Linked DNA regions of Drosophila melanogaster. The gene in region 1 interacts genetically with each later gene. Each region holds a gene or a part of one and is shown on either strand. Other genes may lie near its edges.

Evidence for each region. A genetic interaction does not mean that the proteins touch.
Region 2: of Rgk1 (region 1) and rut, changing one enhances a phenotype caused by changing the other (phenotypic enhancement), as found in Drosophila melanogaster (one study listed by BioGRID).

Annotation. Positions count from the first base shown.
Region 1 is NT_033778.4:19,352,283-19,359,478, forward strand, and holds the start of Rgk1 (Rad, Gem/Kir family member 1), read right to left. Parts: upstream 4,244-7,196; 5' UTR 3,926-4,243; intron 1-3,925. Other genes in the region: CG11961 (uncharacterized protein), read left to right, coding at 6,114-6,218, 6,904-7,196.
Region 2 is NC_004354.4:14,821,951-14,828,024, forward strand, and holds the start of rut (rutabaga), read right to left. Parts: upstream 4,124-6,074; 5' UTR 4,012-4,123; intron 3,956-4,011; exon of another isoform or gene 3,796-3,955; intron 2,978-3,795; 5' UTR 2,839-2,977; intron 1-2,838. Other genes in the region: CG14408 (uncharacterized protein), read right to left, coding at 5,838-6,074. UniProt on the Drosophila melanogaster protein: This is a membrane-bound, calmodulin-sensitive adenylyl cyclase. Inactivation of this cyclase leads to a learning and memory defect.

The sequences.
Region 1 (7,196 bases):
ATTTACAATGCAGAGAAACAATAATATAAAGAGTCGCTTCATCGACTCGATATTACAGGCGCATCGCAGGTGCTTTTTCAGGGAAAAAATTGAAATGCTAAAATTGAAATAAATAAATTCCCGATCGAAAAAAGATTAATCACTTATCAACCGTGCAATCGAATATAATTGCATTATTTGTTAAAGAACTTCAGATGATCAATTTCCATTAACCGAAAATGACTTAAATTATTTTCTGATTGGTTTATCGTTTTTCTGTTCAATTGACAATGCGCTGAATTAAAATAATAGGGGCTTAAAACATCATTTTGGCTAGCTTATACATTTTGAAATAAGGCAACAAAAAAGTGTGTGAGCTGTGGTATTTAATATAGTTTGGAATGTAGCTTTCATGTGGCCTGTTGGCTCTGTAATAGCTACTTAATTAACTAGATGTAGGCCAACTTTTGTGCGATGGCGAAGTAACTTTATTTGCTCGACGAGAGGGTCACAAAGCTCAAGGGATAACGGCCAGGACACAATTGATGAGCCGATAACAACGGTCTTCTGGATGTATCCCCTGGACGCCCATACCGCCACAAGTCAAAGTCCCACTCACTCAACATCAAAAACATTCGTAAAGGCGTGCCTTTGTTTGTACGATTTCCAGTCGAATGATTAGGCCAACACATCAGCAGCAGATATAGTCAGCTCATCGCCAATGCCCACATACTCAAACAATCGATACGGGGGAAAAAAAAATATTCAAAAAGGGATACGATTCGCTCTTCAAGGCTCTTCATTAAAGCGGCTCTGTGTGAATAAATGTGAATAAATTCTGCACAGAATTGAGCAGAAATTTTCTCATATATTTCGGTATTACATCGTATATCCGAAGAAAACAATATGAGCCGGAAAAATGAACTAAACCGCTTGAATAAAGCTGTCCATCAAAGTGGTTGCCAAACATCATTAAATGCTCGCAAGCCAGACTGACTTAACCTTTTTCGCCACGGCCATCCACTCAATCGTCCAAAAGGTTACCTGGACAACAGATTCGATTATCCTGTCCAGAACATAGTACTCAAAGACCAAGCAGTGTCTCTTTGTGGTTGCTTTCGGTGGTCCTTAATAAGATTCCCCTTCATGGCTTGACCAAAGAACATACACAAGAAATATATTTTAATGATTCACAATAGCTGCTAGATATACTCTTTCACACGATATAAAATAGACTAAAAAAAAGATGTAAAATTAATTACTTTAAGTGTTGCATTATTCTTCACTTAACTCACTTGTATTAGTGCTCAAAAGTATTCAACATAGAATGTTTAAAGCGAAAGTTCAAGGTATTCATTACATTTTTGAATGCTTTTAGACACCTTTAGAAATGATTGCGAAGTCCTGGTTATCTTTGAATGTCTGAGTTCTTTGTCAAGCTATCTAAAAATTTGTTTCAAATGCAGTCGCGCTGCTACTGCCACGAATCACAATTGCTTTTGTGCACGGAGTCAGTCCCCTTGAAATGCATTGCTCTTTTGCTGGCCAAGCACAAAAGTCATTGGCCGGGTGGAAAGCTGCACTGCAATCCAGCAGCACGAATAAGTCAATGCCTTGCGATATTTGAGAAGGATGAGGCGGATTCCACTCCTGCTCAGAAGCCATTTCCATTTGCCAAAGCCGTTGGCAGAATACAACTTTAGACATTGAGCTATAAGTATTTGTGCTTGCTTGCTGGCTTAATCAAGCATGAAATAGTCCAAACGTTGTGGTATATATATGCAAGCGAAGTATGATTAGGTTATTGACTCGCCAACTTGAAATATATATGAGAACAAGGGCACTGCTCTTACAACAAGCACTTAATTTGGGGATTAAAAAATCCTTCAGCAAAGGAAAATGGGTAAGTTTTAATCTGGGGATTACACGGCGTATGCGCAATTATATCAATGTAATTAATTAATGAGTGAAATCTGCAGGTAAAACAGCGATTTTCAATTGGAAAGCCACTGTTTGTAATGCAGTGAAATCACGTGAACAAAAGGGCGAACACCACATTCGCTTTTGATTTGTATTTACTTGCTTAATTTGCAATCAGCAATCCTCCGCCTTAATTAACGTTATTCAAAACGACTCCTCTGTGTTTAAGACCAGGTGAATTTCCAAAGCCAAAACATCTGGCAGCCAATTAGCCTAATCCAGTTAGCTTCTGGGCCAGAAATTTTGAAGCAATTATCGTGACAAGTGAACTAGACTCACACACACATGCACATGCCCATCCAGACACAAAAACAACATCCGACTGATTGATGCTTGTCACCTGTTTGTGAGTGTGTGTGTGTGTGTGTGTGTGAGGGGGTGAAAAAAGGGGAGTCTCATCCTGTGTCTGCTTCGTCTGCTCATAAATCACAAACGAATCAGCGAACGCTTCAAATGACTTCATTAAAAAGCGTAACACACGCACTCCGAGAAACGGGGAAAGGCGGACGAAGCAAAGGAACACTGAAAGAATATTCTACCAAAATGCATATATTATATACTAAAGGAATATGTTAAGTTAAAAACAAAAGCGTATACAGCGACAAAATCACTTGAAAATAGTAAAGTTTTCTGATAACAAATAGCAGATCTCCTTTGATTTTTAGTGTAATAGAATAAAAGCATCGTCAGCAGGCCCAGTCAAGTGTACATGGGGATAAGCAGGGAGCCAAAACCAAGTTGTGTGGGGACAAAATAGACCTACTCCCCCATTATCCATTATCCGCAGCCGCACAGCGCGTTCATCCCATGAGCCTCAGCTTCGATTCGCTATTAGCAAGGACTGAAATTCGATGAAATCCGGTCCTTTGTCTCCCAAAAACAGCAGCAGATGGAAAACTTTCCCAGGAGTACCGCCCCCGAAGGACTTGAACTTTTCCCTTGACATTTTCCACGCTTGTTAACAATTGTCGGCATTCCGTTTTTTAGATCGCATGAAAAGTTTTTGGAATACTATTCAAATGAAAGCTAAGCAGATCCTAATTATAACAAAATTGTTTCGATAGGTGCCAATGAAAATGAAAAGGCTAAATTGAAAACCGAGGCAATCTTAACTAAAAAACAAAAAAGGTCAACCCAAATCTGGAAATTGTTTCCGTTTTTTTTTTTTTTTAAGGAAAAACTCTCCTTGAGCCAACTACTTAGAACTTTAACTGGAAAACTTTTCTGGTTTTTACCAGTTTTTGTTTTGTTTTTCGTCCTTTGTTTTCCTTTATTATTCCTCTCATGTTCCACTTCCTTGCGTGCGCTTTGTTCTCTCCATATCCTGCCACTGATTTGCCGCTATTGTGTCATTGTCCAAAAATTTTATTATGACCCACAAAAGTAAACGGAAAAAAATAAGGAAAAACTTGGCTGGCTTGTGGTGTGAGTTATTGTCGCATAAAGGACATTTTTTCACTGGGGTTGGGGATTTTAACGGCAGGCTAATGATAATCGCTATGGTCAACGACCTGTAATCCCCGCAAATTAAGGTTTTCATTTTAGGAGCGCCAAATCCTATTAGGACATTTAATAGGAATCAATAAATAGAAACTATCATGTGGAAGCCAATTTAAAAGTTGCAAACTAACAAATTTCGCTTCACCAAAGTTGGATTTCGTAAACTTTTGATTACAACTTTTAATTGATTTGCAATAAATATGGGGCAGACAGTTAAAGTTTTGCACCCTAACTCAACTCTGGAATTTAGTACGGAATTTCGTTATTGTGTCACTTGATTGTATCTGACTTTTGGGTGAATTAGAATTAAATCACAACAATTTGCATGAACGGTCCACGCTTTTTAATCCAATATTTTCGCAGACATGATGAAAGTCAAGTATTTGAATGCAAATGACTCGCCTCCGTAAAGCAGGCAAGCATTTCACGTGTTTTTTGCCCCAACAATCCCGCGGCTGTTACTCACAAATTCAGTACGGTTTCTTCCGCTCGCTCCGCATACGATTTGCATTCGCTGGGTGCTTTCCTTTCTGTTATTCTTTTTTTTTATTAAAAATTATATAATTTTATTTTTAGCTAGGCAAACGGAACAGGCAGAGAGATAGACGCACACATACACACACGCGCGCACATAGATACGCGGCCCCTTTCTTTACTCCAAGCACATTTTTAGTACCGTTAGGGATCCCACTTTGAGTCCTAATTTATTTTTTTTTTTCGTTCTGCTTAAATTTGTTCCTAGGCAGCGAGCACGACCAAAAGCTTCGAGCGTTGAAACGCGACTGAGACTTTAGTAACAGCGGGACAAGCGGCTCAACTGAACGATGGAGAAAGTGGGATAGAGAGAGAGAGAGAGAGGAAGAGAGAGAGTGGGTGGAGCGGCACCACCAAAATGAACGTGCTAGGAAGATAGGCGTTGAATGGGTGGTGATGGTGGGTACGCAAAGCACGAGGACGCGCGAATTTGTGTCGAAAAGGCGGGCGAAGAAGCAGCTGACACATATTTCGCTTTGTTTTGGTTGTGTCCCCAAACCGGCAATTGCTCTCACACGCATGCGTACTTTCTGCGTTCTCTCGCTTTCCGTTCGACTAAAACTAGCCACAAAAGACGGCCAAAACTAGCTGGTCAGTGTTTTCGTAGCTCTGATTGTGAAACTCTCACGGAATTCCCATACACTTGTTCCTGGGCGTTCATTCTATCGATTATCCTTTCGGTCCGTGTTCCGGTGAACGCTTTGTTTACGAATTTCAGTGCCACAAGGCATCAATGAAGAAGTGAGTGCGGGAGTCAGTGTATTAGTGAGTGAATGAATTCGCGAGAGCAATTGGCACACACACACAAACACACATAGGTTACACCCACTCGGGCATTCCTTATTTAGGTTGAATGACACTGCGCCTAAGTGCCCCTTCCTGCACCTCCCCCGCCTTTATTGCATTTCCCGTTTTATGGCACATGTTTTCCACGTTGTCCTCAATTCCAAACGGGATGCTCCCGCTGCATGCGTGTGTGTGCCTGTGCTTTTCACGTCATCGTTTTCTAATGCACATGCAGGCCAGAAAGAGAGAGAGACAGGCATGAGGGCGCATAACTGTAAATGAGCAAATTTACCGCTTTTAGTTGTGCCCTATCTTTTTGTTCGGCTGTTCGGTCGTTTTGCTGGCCAGTGTGAAATTGTTTCCAAATTGCCGCCCGAAAGTATGCAATTACGAATCAGATAAGAACCGCTTGGGTGCGATAGACAATCGAAACGATTGCTATCTTTATCGAATGTCGCACACAATTATTTTGTTTACCACACACACACACATTTGCCCAAGTAAATACGAAAATAATGCGCTGTGTGAAAAGTGTAAATATTAGCAACTAAGAACTGTCAACAAAACGCTGACCATTATTTTGAATAATTCAGTTAGTGCCGCAGCGCTTTGCGCTCGAGCGGTATTAAAACCGCGCTTCGGAAACTTTGATCCCACCATTCGGCGGCTAAAACTCGGAGCGGCAAAAACAACAAGGCCGGTTTCGCTACAATATAGATACGGGAAGAAGAAGAGCGCCTCGGAATGAGCAGCGAAACGGAGGAGAAAAGATCGAAGGTACGGATGCAGATTTAGAATGCAAAGTGCACTTAGAAAAATATAATGCAGATGTCAGTGAATTCATAAAATCGTTGCAAGTAAAAAACCATTCAGCCATTATTACTATGATAAATACAGATTGATATACCTATTTTTTCAATGTGTAAAAAAAGATAAGATGTGGGCTTGCACTCATAATGCTGCTGCTCTAATTAATTGATATATATCGACTTGGTCAAATTCAGAATTATGAATTATGAATCCAAGCGGAAGTTATGTAGGCATTTCTCGCAGTCCACTGTTAATGAAAATCCAGCCCCCCACAACCCCCTGTACCCTGAGTAGCCATAAACATATTTCGAACTATTGTATACGGTTCGTACGACGAACCGATAGATAAGAAACATTGTATCGTGGGCGAGAGAATAAAAAAGTTATTTGTCTCTGTGAGGGAATTTGAGACCGGTACGTTAGGATAATCAATGCAGTGGAACGTTCAGTAGAGCGTTGGACGCCGACGCGATCGGTTCATTGGGAGATCTTGACCAAAATACCGGGCATCGTTATCCGGAAACATGAGTGGCAGTGAGAAGAATGTACGGCGTCGCGTCATTACGCCGACCAACGATCCTACGAATGTGGATCCATTGCTACGACCCCGCGGTTCCCAGCAGTATGAGGTAAGCACCCACTTTGGGTCCTTGATTAGATTGCTCTTCAATTGGGTGTGGTATGTGCTAATCACCGCCGATCCAAACAGCCAAACAGCAACATGAGCATTACCCATGGTTGAGTTCCAAGGGAATCGACTTTTTTTTGGCGGCATGTACTTATCAGGGAAAAGCCGATAACTAACGAACAGTGGATACCCTTGAGATAGCAGCGCACCATTTCGCCCTAGTTGCACCCTCGGTTTATCTATCTGTCTGGCCTTAGTTTAGTGGAGCAGTTCCCAACACAAGAAGTTATACTATCCACCTGTGACCAATTCGATTTTCGGTGGCAACAGGTTTTGCAACTGGCGGGCTGACCAGCGATAAGATAACCGTTGATGGATTAAATCTAACTTTCGACTTGATACCTATAGTCGATTCCAATTTCGAAATTGACTCATGTCTGCGGCCAGACGTAGGTGTATCTAACTACGAAGTTTTGGGTAATATCCATTCGGTGTGAATAAAACCGTGCCGAAAATTAGATATCTTTAGGGGGCATTGGCAAGATTAAAAGATATACAATATGTATGTACATGCCTAGTTTTCGGAAGTCCCGTATAAGATAAGTGACCTAAAGCCAATACTGACATTGCAGGCATATTAAGTTGTTTGAATTTAATTGAATTAATCTTTATCCGCTTCATTTCAGGCTCAGCCCAATGGCTGTGAGCGAGCATTCGTCCAGGGAAACAAGATTAAGTGGTTCTGGGCACCCGCCTTCTTTGGATTCTGGCTGCTGCTCTATGTGACCATCTCGATACCCGCCTGCCACCGCCTTCCCCGCCCACTGACCATTCAGGATGAGGAAACGCATCCCGACCAGTTCATCGCCGAGCGCGCAGAGAAAAATCTACGGGAGCTAGTGAGCCTGGGACCCCGAGTGGTGGGCAGTCGACAGAATGAGATGGCCGCTTTGAAGATGCTCTCCCAGAAGATGCAAAA
Region 2 (6,074 bases), on another chromosome or scaffold:
ATGCTAAACACATCAGATTTATATTTAATTAAATAAGTTACACAATAATGTGTAAACTGATCAACAAAGATCACAAAATAATTTTTATCATCTAAAGTAACTGGAGTAATAGGCCCACAGACATCTGAGTGTACTACAAAAAGTGGTCTTTTAATATGGGTCTTATCTTTCAATTGTTTAAAAGGAAGTCTTGCCTGTTTACCATTTAAACAGGGTTCACAAATTTCACATGATAACTCTAAGTTGTTTAGAAGACTTTGATCACTAAACATATTCTTTCGTTTTATTTCTAATAATTTGCCATCGCTTATATGGCCAAACCTCTCATGCCATAAACGAAAATTATTTTTATGCTTAGCATTTATAGAATATGCTTGAAAATTGATCACAGGTACATTGTTTAACATACCTGAATTTTTGACAACCATTAACCCATTTTTCGAAATGGTTACACCGCTTTTGTCAAATTCGATCGACATTCCTGCCTCTTGGAGACGCTTTACGGACATCAAATTACCAGCAGCTTCCTTACAAAAGAGTACATCCTCCAGTGTAATCTCATGGTCATTCCGTAGTCGGACAATACCACGCTTAGTGGCATAAATAAATTCGCCTTGCTTGGCCACTGCAATCTTAAGTGGAGGCACAACCTCCACACTGTCGGTATACAGCGACTCATCATTTATAAGATGGTCACTAGCACCAGAATCAAGGACAAACCCGCAGTTGTCCATCACTGAAGTATTATTCACTTCTTTTACCATAAACGCAATGCCGTGTGATGTTGCAGTTTGAACTTGTTTTTCATTTTCTTTATTTTTATTATTTAATATTCTTTTATAATGGAAACAATCTTTTTTAATGTGGCCTTCTCTGCCACAGTGGTGACACTTGACTTTATACTTTGAATTTCCCTTGAATATTTTCTTTGGTTTAGTTACCCGATTTTTAAACAAATTATTTTTATAAGTGTTATTATTGTTGTGCACGATCGCGTTCATAACTTTCTTGCTTGTATCGTTGTGGTCATTTTTAATTTTAATTTCTTGATCCAGCAATCTATTTTTCACAAACGCCAATGTCAAATTTTCTTCAGATAATGTCTCTATCGCTGTAATAATTCCATCGTAACACGAAGGCAATGTGATCAGTAGATGAGAAATTTTATCCATCTCTTCTATTTTTGCACCAGCTGCCAACAATTCACTTATAAGTTCGTCAAAAATATGAAAATGGCTTAATAGTGACATCTCACTCGATAGCTTCAGAGAAAGCAAACGTTTTCGCAGCGCCAGTTGCGACGCCAAACTTTTTCGTTCATAAACGGCGTCCAAATTCTCAAGAATCTGACGCGCCGTAATGTCGCTTGTTGCGAAATTTAAAAACGAGTCGCTTAGGTACTCTATTATTGTACTTTTTGCACAACGCTCTGCCTTTTTCCAGGAGTCATCTACCTCGTTAGGCATTAAACCATCAACTACTTTAAGCACATCTTGCTCGGCTAAAAGAGCCCTAATTCTAAATTTCCAAATCGCGTACTTCTCGCCATCAAACGGCTTAATATTACGTTTAGCCTTGTCCATTTTTCACTCAAATTCTGAGAAGGAAATAATTTCACAAGAATGTGAAAAAAAAAGCTATTTCACAAGAATGTGAAAAAAATGCTATTTCACAATTTATTTTCACAATCTTTAATTCACAATTTAATTGTTTATTAGGCATGGACTGGGCCCATAACCTGTTGTAATTTATAATTTATATTTCCTTTCTTAATAAATAAATAAATAGTCAAGTTTATGTTTGAGTTTTATGATTTATATTTTAAGTTATTTCAACTGCAACACCAGCACCACGACCTACTCACAGCAAAAAACGTACAAGAAGGAAAGAAGGAATAAAAAGAGTGGTATTCTCTTACAATATGTTTTATGGCATAAAAGGTGTGGCCATTCATATCAAATATAAAGTAGTGTTGTTTAACGTTATTTTTGTAGGTTGAATAGTATATTCCAACAAACACAAATATGAAAAGTCGGCGGGGCGAAAAGAAAACACATGTGTCAGCTGCTGCAGCACACACAATTTAAAACTATAATATTAAAGGCAATTTGTTAAAAGGGTTGCAATTATTTATAGCCATCGCCCTAATGATTCAGATAATAAATGAGCTAAATAATTCGAAATCCCTAGTGAAAATCTATGAATAGAAGCCATTTAAACTGGCTTAGAAGCTACAATTATCTAGTCAAGTCATTAGTTAGTCAAATACACAGTTAAGTAGTTGTTATTAATAGCCATAAATGTATGATCATCGTAAAAATGATTGGTCATAAACTAAAAGTCTTACTTTTTATCGAAACAATAAAAAGTAAGCTAATAACGATCAGCAGTTAAAGTTGACGGATTTGTGTTATATCCAACTGGAATCTAGTTAAACAACAATTTAAAGATAATAATTGTTTATGAAAAACGCTATAAGTAGTTAGTACTAATATTAATTTTATTTTCCTTTTTTGGATAAAATTTCAGTTCTACATATATAATAATATTCATGTTATTTAAATAGGATTTTCGATTATATTTTTCATTCTATTTTTGCTTTCTTTCTTTCTTTCTTTCTTTTCAATAAAATATTAAATTTTATATACATGTATTGAGAAAATATAATATTTACTTTACTCATATTCTAATTTGTATTAAATATTAAAATGAATAAAAACGTTTCAACCTTCTCCCGATTTCATGTGTATCTTATCCATAACTACGTATATATGTACTTCAGAGATGCAAAAGTATCTTAGTATCTCAAACTGAATTTCGTCAAAGGAAAACACTTACCCAAAAAGCAACAACGATTGTGTTGCAAGTTGACTGCTGCTGCTTCTTCTTCTTCTGTTACTTTTTTGCCTCCTTGTTCTGTATCTCTTGTTGTTGTTGTTGTTATTATTGTTGTTGTAGGTCCAAGATGCATAGATGGCTGAGCGGAGAGTAAGAGGGTGCGAATGAGACAGCGATAGGGAGCGAGTGAGAGAGCAAGCGAGTTGTAATTGAATGTTTGGCTCTTAATTAAAACAAGAATTGTGACAGCCACGCTTTAAGGCGGGGGGCGTGGCAAGCCCAAGCCTAAGCCCACTCCCACACACTCTCTCTCTCTCTCTCTCCCTTGGTTATTGCTTTTCTTTGCTCTCTCTCTTCGCGTGCCCTTTTTGATTATCTAATCCTTGGGGCAGGTGACATTTTGCAACTTTTGGGGAAGCGGAAGTTGTTGCCGTTTTCTTGTGCTGCCGCCGCTGCCAATACCGTTATCGATTTTTTGCGGCAGCTTGTTGTTGTTGTTGTTGCCGCTGCTGCCGCCGCCGTAAGCCGAAAAAAGGCGTGTGTGTGGCAAAGAGACAGAGGAACGTGGAGAAGAGAGGGAAAAGCCAGTGGCAAAGCGCATCCATGGACGGCACACACACACACACACACACACACACGCATTGGCATGATGAGAAGAGTGGGGGAGTGTGGAAAACGGGGAGAGAGGAGAGCCGAAAAGGCCAAAGCGAAACGAGTTAAGACGCAAGACAATGCAGATAAAAGCGGCAACAACGACAACAACAAACACGGCCAAGAACGGCAACAACAACCACAACAGCAGAAGGCGTCGCGGTGCGCTCTTCTTCTTGCTCTCCTTCTTTATCATCTGCTGGCAATGCATTCGTGTTTTTTGTTGTTTTTTGGGTTTTCGGTTTTTCTTGTTGGTTTTCTTTTATTATTATTTTTTTTTTTTTTTTGGAAAACTTGAATCTTTACCAGCTGCGTTTGGAGTTTTCCTGCCACTTCTTAAATGCGCGCGCGCATTTCCCACGACAAAAAGAAAACAAACGACCAGCGAGACACACAAAGTGGCACTTTATAGAACGAAAAAAAAAGTAGAATGTGCAAATACACCAGCACCGAAAAAAAAAAAGAAGAACAACAGTTAAGATCGCCGCGTTATTTAACCGCTTTTCCTTCCACACAACTCACGACGCGATTTCTTCGGATTGTTTGGCTTGGTTTGTTTGGTTTGTTCGGTTTCTCTTCGGCTCCGCTCGCTTCGGATTTGGTCTGTTCTCAGCAAAGCGTTGCAGCCAAACTAAAGCGTCCGTCGGCGGTTCGTAGCGAACCACTGCGAACCGAGTGGCACGAAGCTGCACGAAGTTGCACGAAGCGTTCGTCGGCGTGCAGCGAAAGCACTATCGTAGAGATGGGGCGCCACTGCTTGCGATAGCCCAATCGATATATCGTATATCAGCTGGTGTGATTTTAAATCCTATTATCAGCGTTATTTACAATATATACCAATTTCAAATTGATAGATGGAGATCGAACGTTGTGGTTTTTAAAGTTCCTGATCTTAATGCGTACATGTTCACTTATATGCAACTTGTATGGCGAATAAAAGTTGAAATGCAAAAGCTTTCAAAAGTCTATCGCCATGTCTTACATATTATCAGCAATCAGCTGGTTTTCTAGGTACTGTGTTATTATAGATTACTTATTGATTTTGAATATAGTTTTTAATATTAAGTTAAAATATACACCAATTAATCAAAAATTTTAAATGGGATTTGAGTAAAAATTAATGGGCATAATCATAGAATAAGTTTTTTATTTGGTAGGAAATACTAAACTAGAAAATACCAAAAGGCTGAAGAATGGTGGTCAAATGAAATTTCTAAAATAGAAAACCGTTAAAAGGCAATGCTATATTATTTAATAACATAACACAAACTAGTCAATTTTAAAGTTGATTTTTTACGTATTATAACAAAGAATGAAACTAAAGCTTTATAGTTACCAATTAAAAATGGCAGCCCCATTTTATTCACTAACTGCCCAGTTTTCGAAATGAAACATTCAGTTTTGTATAATACACTTCATATAATTTTATGCAGGTATTTATATATGCAATTATTTAACACTCAGTGGCGCAAACAGAAGAAAACCGAAGAATTCGCGGACAATTTGCAAGTCGCTTGTATTTCAAATGTCTCCATAAAGTAATATTGCTGATTCGGCTTTTGGTGCGAATTGTCAACGCACTCCTCGTTTTCTTTCAGTGCACACCACATTTACCATTATTTGTACACTCTTATGTATTTTTGTGGGTTTCTTGTAAATCATTTTGCCGAATATTTAGCTCGTACACACTAAAACTATTAAACTGATTTCGTTTTTGTTGACTAGCATTTAGTTATTTGCTTTTTGTAAACAGCATAAAATGTAACTTTCTTAATTATGTATATGCCACTACATAAACTAAATTATTGCACATCATTTATTTAGGATTAGAACATAGTTTGCCACACGTGCCTGAGTGCGTTGGTGTGGATTTAAAAAGATTCCTGCTGGCTCATCCATCATCTCGCATCCATTTCGATCCACCTGGGATTGATGTCTTTTTGTATTTGAATGATATGTACGCTACGCTTTTGACTAATTGGATTTTTTGGATCGATCGTAAGTATGCCCTAATACTCATAGAGTAAAATTTTGCCATAATTTTCATATTTGTATGCGTGCAGTGATGGGGGAAGTTGTGTCAGCGGCCAAACAAGAGTTTTCTAAATTGAAGAAAGGTACTTTCGAAAATTCCGTTACAAAAATGCTCAAAAATAGTGCATAGTTTTGAAACTTTAAATACTTCTTGTGGCACTTTCGATCATTATCTATGAACTATATTGCAATTATTCATTTAAAAGTGACTTTTCCCATCACCGCATTCATGTGTGTGTGTGTGTGTGTGTGTGATGGTGAGGCGGTTTTGGTGTTGATTTTTTTTTCTAAGTGTAGGGTATTTCGCTGTCGGCTCAAAACAGCAAGGCTCCAACCACGTTTAGTGCCTGGTGGTGTTGCTTTTGTTGTTGCTTCTGCTGCTGATTCTGTTGTTGTTGTTGCTGTTGCTGTTGATGTTGGTGTGTGTGGTACATGCTTGTGGTTGTTGTTGGCGATTTGAGTTCCTCCACTATAATGGCACCATTCTCATCCACCAAGTGATTTAATAGTAAATTCTCAACCTGCTCATCGGACAGTAACTCTTTTGGCTC